2 linked regions of the Ovis aries genome follow. The protein of the gene in region 1 interacts with the protein of each later gene in a pairwise test. Links are inferred from orthologs where the notes say so. Each region holds a gene or a part of one and is shown on either strand. Other genes may lie near its edges. The genes, in order: LSMEM2 and LSMEM1.

Region 1 (3,873 bases):
TATTCTTGCCTGGAAAATCCCATGGACAGAGGAGCCTGGTGGGCTACAGCCCACGGGGTCACAGAGTCAGACACAACTGAGCGCACACACACAAAGGATGCCTGTGTCTGCGTAACTGGATCATTTCGCTGGACACTTTGAACTCCACTAAGTGACCAATCAAGTACATGCCAAAATACAAGTTTAACAGAAAGAAAAGAAATGCCTACTCTATTTTTTTTTCAGGCTTCTGGCACCTTGGCCTGTGTTGCAGCCCTGAAGCCTGAGCAGGCCTGGTCTCCAGGCTGGAGGGTGGTAAAGCTAAGGGGGCGAGGGAGGCTGTGTCATCAGAGAACCTCCCTTGGCCCCGCAGTGCCTGCTCCGCTAAGACCACAGTCTCCAGATCCAGTCAGACCCTCCTCTAGCTAAGCCAAGCCTAGCGTACCCAAAGGATGGTGGATTCTGTGAGCTAGAAGTTTTTTTTTTTTTTTCCCTGACATTTTTAGTTATTTTTAACAATTTTCTTGGCCACACCACATGGAACGCGAGATCTTAGTTCTCCAACCACGGATGGAACTCGGGCCCCTTGCCCTGGAAGTGTGAGTCTTAACCACTGAACTGCCAGGAAAGTCCCAGGGCTGGACGAGCTTTGTAAATTCACCCGGTTTTCAGGTCTCCCAGTTGAGGGGTTCCCTCCTCCAACCTTCTGCCTTAGACTCACCCTACCAAGAGCACCCTCAGCACCCTCACTGTAGCCGGTTTTCAGGGCTCTGGATTTGTCTGGGGTGGGGGAGGATAAGGTGGAAGAAATAAGAAGACACAAGCCCTTGGGTGTTGTTTCTGGCACATCCCATTCTAAGTTACAACCCAGGAATGGGACTTTTCCCCTAAGGCTCTGGTTGCCCAAGGAATCAAGAGTTGGGCAGGGAGAAATGCTGCCACCTTGTGGTCATTTCTTATAACAACAAATTGAAAATTGGTGCTTCTGGGCACTTGATATTCACAAGGCTTTATTTTATTGTTTAGCGGCTAAGTGGTGTCCCACTCTTTGGCAACCCCATGGACTGTAGTCCACCAGGCTCCTCTGTCCATGGGATTTCCTAGGCAAGAATACTAGAGACGGTCACCATTTCCTTCCCCACGGGATCTTCCCAACCCAGGGACTGAATCAATGTCTCCCGTATGGCAGGAGTTTTCTTTATGGTTGAGCCGCGGGGAAAGTCCAAGCTATGGCCTATAACTGCATTAACAATGTCTACTTCAGGGACTTCCCTGGTGGTCCAGTGGGCCAAGATTTTGCACTCCCAATGCCAGAGGCCCAGGTTCCATTCCTAGTCAGGAACTAGATCACACACGTTGCAAGGAAAATCAAAGATCCCAAGTGTCTACCGCTGAATACCTAAATAAATAATAATGTTCACTTCCTAGGGCTGGCCACAGGACTGGTAGCTCCATGGGGTAGCTTTCCCTATCAAGAAGCCACACTGAGAAATCTCACCAGACAGCTTAATTCTGTGATAAAACCAACAAGAGCAAGCTTTAATGGGACTTAATCCTCTCTTGTTACTTGGGTTAATGTATTTACCTCTTGATAATCATCTAGTCCTTGATTACCTTCTGACAGAACAAGGCACAATTTGTGGGGTAACTAACACTTCCTGCTGCACCTAAATCAATGCAACAGCAAAGAGAAAAGTTAAATAGACACCCAAGCAGCAATGGCTTCACAATTTTGGCAGGGGCGCTGTCGCCTTCGCTGTCTGGTCAGCAGTTAGGGAAGCCCTGTCAAAGTTATCCTGGTTCCTTCCCTTCCTAGACCCTTGAGTGAAGCAGTCTCCAACCTTTCTGGCACCAGGCACTGGCTTCCTGGAAGGTAATTTTTCAGTGGGCATGGGGTAGGGGAATGGTTTCAGGTCGACTTGAGCACATTACATTTATTGTGAACTTTTTTTCTATTACTACACCAGCTCCATCTCAGATTGTCAAGGCATTAGATCCTGGAGGTTGGTGACCCCTGCTCTACTGGCTTTTTACTGTTCTCCTTTTTGGCCCTTGTCTGTTTAACCCTTTGGTTAAGTTTGTGTCTTCTAGGTCCCAACAGTTTTCAAGTAAGGCTCAGGATGGCTCAAGGATTTCAACCGATTCCAGCTGAGGGGAACCCAGGTCCCCGAAAGCAGTCAGCGAGGGACTTCTGCACCTCTAGGGTAGGCTAGGATCTGCGGTTTCAGAAGAGAACTTCAACCCCTTAACCCTTAAGAAGAAAGGGTGTAGAACCCCCTAGAGGGGAATCAGACATGGGACCCTATGCTGTAGTACTTCACCTGGACAAACATCTCTTGGAGCAACGGACTACAGAGAGATTGTAAGGCAGCAGTCCCCTGACCATTTGGGCAACAGGGATTGGTTTCATGGAAGACAGGTTTTTCCAGGGACCAGATGGGAGGGATGGGGTTGATTTCAGCTGGTAAAGCAACCAATGGAAAGACGCAGAGGAAGAAGCTTTGCTCGCTGGCTTGCCCTCCACTCACTTCCTGCTGTGCAGTCGGGTTCCTAACAGGCTACAGACCAGTGTCAGTCCTAGGCCTGGAGGTTGGGGAATCCTGCTGTAAGCAACTAAAAGCAACTATATAAACCTGCGGTTGGGGCAAATTATAAACAAGATACAAAAAAGACACCCCCCCAAAAAAACAGACCAGAAAACCAATTGCCACACCACCACAAGGGGGCAGGCTGACCACCTAAGCCACCCTACTGCCTGAACCATGGATCTGACCCTACCCTCACCCCATTTAAGGAACCAACTCACCCCTCCTGCCCTCCTTCCCCACCCCCAGCACAAGCAAGGGAGAGCACCTGTTGCTAGTTGGGCACCTGTGGCTTATTTTCACTCCCTTGTTCTGCAGCATGAGTCCTTGAAGCCTTGCCTGAATTTCTCATCTGGCCTCTTATCAACTTCTATTGATTAAAGAGTCCAAGAACCTGGGTCGGTAACACTAAGACCAGCAATTGTCTGCTGGGGCCATTCCAGCTTTGGCTGAAAATGTGTTTATTGCATTAGTACAGTCGGCCTGCCCCACCCCACCCACCCAGCCTGTTCACAGCTTTCTGCTCATTGCCCAAAGAGGTGGTCCTTCTCCCAGGGTGGGCATTCCGGGCACCACTCCCACCCAAGTACCCGGGGAACCCTGCTTCTCTGCTGCCTCCCGACCAGCCGGACCCTGTGCTCAGCCTAGGCCGCCCCTATTGGGGTTACATTCAAGGGTTATCCTCTTGTTAATAAATAAGCCAGCATGGCTGCCCCTTGGCCAGGGCCTGTCGGTCGGTGTCTTCCCTCCATCAGGAAACGCCGGCCCCTAGCCGTCTCCCAGGGTCTGAGCGCCCCCTCTCCCTCCTGCCGCCTCCTCCCCAGTCCCCAGCGTGGGGACGGCCAAGTCACCAGTCCGCTGCGCTGCGCGGGCCCCGCTCAGCCCGCAGCTCTGGGGCGTGTGTCCTCCGGTTGCGGCCCTTTCTCCGTGACTCAGGGACCTGTGGGCGCGGCGCGGGCTGCGGGCGACACATTCGCAGGGAGTTCGCACCACCGCCGCCGGGCTCCACCAGCTGCAGAAAGTCCCGGTACCAGAGCTTGGGGCCCGGCGGGGCGACTGGCGCAGTATCCTCGGCCCGGGCCAGTCTTTCAGCCTGTGCTGCGCTCAGCACGTGCAGCGCCAGGCGACGCAGTGGCTGCGAAAAGCCCTGCTCCACCGCTGCACACAGGTACACGCCGGAGTCCCCACGCCGTAGCCCGCGCAGCAGCAATCCCCTCCTCGAGCGCTCCGCCCGCTCCTCCGCAGGCACCTGCCGGTGGATCAGCGGGAGGCGAGGATTTTAGGGAACGGCGGGGGGGCGGAGCTTATC
Region 2 (3,024 bases), on another chromosome or scaffold:
GATAGAACAATAATACATTTCACAGAACAGACTTACACAATATATTTATAGTAAACATTTTCTAAGATTCGTACTTTTAAGCTCATTTATATTGCAGCATGTCTAATTTCACAAACTCTGTGCCTTACCTTTTGTGCTGAAACAAGGCAGGTTCCAAATATTCCAAATATACAATTTCTCACTGCAACTTAATAAACTTATAACCTATAAACCCAGCAGATTTCTGCACAATTAATCAGCGGGTTACTGAAGGATTTTTTTCCTGTCGGAAAGCCAAAAACCTCATATATCTATATATAACTACATATCTCCTTTGTTCCCCACTTGAATGTAAACTTCTGTAGAATACAGTGGTTTGCAAAAAGCAACAGCTCAATAAACATAATTTGAATAACTCGGGCTCTCTCCTCTGGTCCCCACCCTACCATACGCACTTTACTATCAACAAACAGCTGTAGGCAAATAGCTCTGAGTCGATCCATCCCCCATCCCTGAAGAAGTAAGAGTCAAGTATAATCACCTGAGCAGAATCTCCTTTATTGAAAAGAATTATCACCTGATTCCCTTGAATACAAACAATTCAACAAATCCCTTAGGCTTTTCCGGGAGTTCATAAAGATACATGAGGGGCCATGAACTTTACTGGCCACTGTGACCTTATTTTGGTGACAAATCTTCTTTGGTAAAAGAAGCTGCATGTGCAGAGCCAAGTTCCCTTTCTCATCTACTGGTGTTTTTCCTCCATGCCTCCCACCCTTCAGCCCATGAAAGCTGAAGGACACTCCCACAAAGCAAGCCTCTTTCTGGCAGCTGCCCCCAGCCCCTCTTGCCTTGGAGTTGCTCCCATCTCTGTAATTCAAACTCAGTCTTTCAAGACCCACAGCAATACCCTTGATGGTTCTTAAACCATACACCCTTCCTGGACCGTGAGAAGCTCAGGTGTTAGCAGTTGCTCTTGGACGATTCATTTCTTTAGCTCTGGTCTGAGTCCAGCTGGTTGAGTCGCTTTACAATGATGCTGTTGATTTTCTTAAGATCATCTATGTCCTTTCCTTCAGCTGCTAGTCGTCTTGACACATCTTCCATCTTGTTTTCAGTTTGAACTTAAAAGTGAAAAATAGACAGCATTATGCTTATTTCCAGCGTGTTCCATCGCGACTCATCAGAGCCCATGGCGGGGTTCAGCTGGGGAGCAGAGATGCCGTCTTGGCAAATCCTCTGCTCCAATAGCCCATGCAGCCCTGAGGCCCGGGAGAGAAACTACTGAAGTTTCCTATGAAGTGAATTATTTTTACAACCCTTTTGTGCCAGACTTGACTACCTTTGGCAGCTCTGCTCAGATTCTGGCTGAGAAATACATTGTGTGAACAACCACAGGAAAACTGCCAGTGTCTGATTATGCCCAGAGAAGGGACTGTTGTCTCATTCTGAGACCTGTTCTCAGCAAAGGTTTTTCACTCATCATTTGGGAGGTGAGATATTTTGGGTTCCAACCCATAGGTCTCCTGGTTCTAAATTACCAGTCCATAATGAATGTATAATAATAATTCTCCCCAGCCACTCCGAGAGCAGAGAGACCATATTTCCAAAATAAATAGAGCCCCTGGGTATTGAGTAAGCCGGGGAGTGGAGCACTGTAAGGCCTACTTGGCAGTTAAAATTTCCAAGAAAGGCAGCACAAAATCAGTATTTAATACATGGACTCTGTATCATTTCCATTTCAGGCAAGTGTTTTCCACGATAGCTTTCAGGAACTAATGCAGGTGGTGACACACCACCGAGTTTGCCCAACAACTAATGTGGGAAGGCATCAGAGCTTCAGCTTCCAGCCTTGGGACAAACTGCTGCCCAGAAGCCACCTCCCCATTGTGTCTGAAAATTATGTTTGGATGAACTGTGCTCTAGAACGTGGGTGTGTTGGTGCAGAGCCAGACAGAAGAAATACCACTCGCTCCTGGAGAAAAGTGTGAAACAAGTAAATCCACAGCATGCGACATCCTTTCCTCTCTCTGGAACCTTCTACATGAGTCAAACACAAAAGGGAGTAGCAGGCATGGTTGGATTAAGTCTGTTCCACAATATATTAGCTCCAAATTAAATTCCAAAAGAGAAAAAGGATTCTATATGCAAAAACATTAGAAAAAAATCATATACTGACTTGCATTTTGGAAATTCACAAAAAGTAAAATAAAATACCTTGAGTATTACTAACCTAGCAATTCTCAAACTCACTAGACCATAGAACCCTTTTTAAAATGAAGGCAATACTTAATCACATCCCACACACCTCATATCTAACATTGCTTGGCCCTTGTAAACCTACAGAGGCAGGTAGGCATCCTGTGTAATCTACCCTTGCTGTCTGGTATTCCTCTTTAGAACAGAGATTGTAACAAAAACACAAGGTCCAATAGTTTAATCAATGTAATCAATGTAAAATAGCCTATTTCTCTTGCATAAAAATGCCAGATATAAGTTCTTACACTTCAGTTAAAATGATACAAATCTGCTCTCTCAGTGAGAGCAGAAAGGTTTCCTCTTCAAAGATGAGCACAGGCCAAGTTCATTTACAGAGGCCTGTAAAGAATGGTAAAGAATCCACCTGCAATGCGGGAGACCTGGGTTTGATCTCTGGGTTGGGAAGATGCCCTGGAGGAGGGCATAGCAACCCACTCCAGTGTTCTTGCTTGGAGAATCCCCATGGACAGAGGAGTCTGGCAGGCTACAGTCCATGGGGTCGCAAAGAATCAGACACAACTGAGTGGCTAAGCATGCAAGCACGTGCCAACTCTGGTCTTAGGTTGGGCTAAAGTTTATCTGCAAACCACAGGAAGCCTCTTATTATTACTACAAAAGGCAGTGGAGTGCCAGGAGTTCTGGAGGCAGATGGGCCAGAGTATGAATCCCAGTTCTGCCTCGGATTAGCTGAATAAACAGGGAGAGTTAAACTCTCTGGGCTTTCACCTTTCATCAGTAAAACAGAAATATTAGGCAGTACCTTGAAGGGTAAAGATTTAAGATAAT

The links.
Region 2: the proteins of LSMEM2 (region 1) and LSMEM1 interact in binary tests that used the Homo sapiens proteins (3 or more experiments, as listed by UniProt). The two-hybrid records come from large-scale screens. The link is inferred for Ovis aries from reciprocal best matches to the Homo sapiens genes LSMEM2 and LSMEM1.

What each region holds. Positions count from the first base shown.
Region 1 is NC_056072.1:50,135,192-50,139,064, forward strand, and holds the start of LSMEM2 (leucine-rich single-pass membrane protein 2), read right to left. Parts: upstream 3,053-3,873; 5' UTR 1-3,052. Other genes in the region: SEMA3B (semaphorin-3B), read right to left, coding at 3,412-3,813.
Region 2 is NC_056057.1:57,454,012-57,457,035, forward strand, and holds the end of LSMEM1 (leucine-rich single-pass membrane protein 1), read right to left. Parts: intron 1,104-3,024; coding exon 973-1,103; 3' UTR 517-972; downstream 1-516.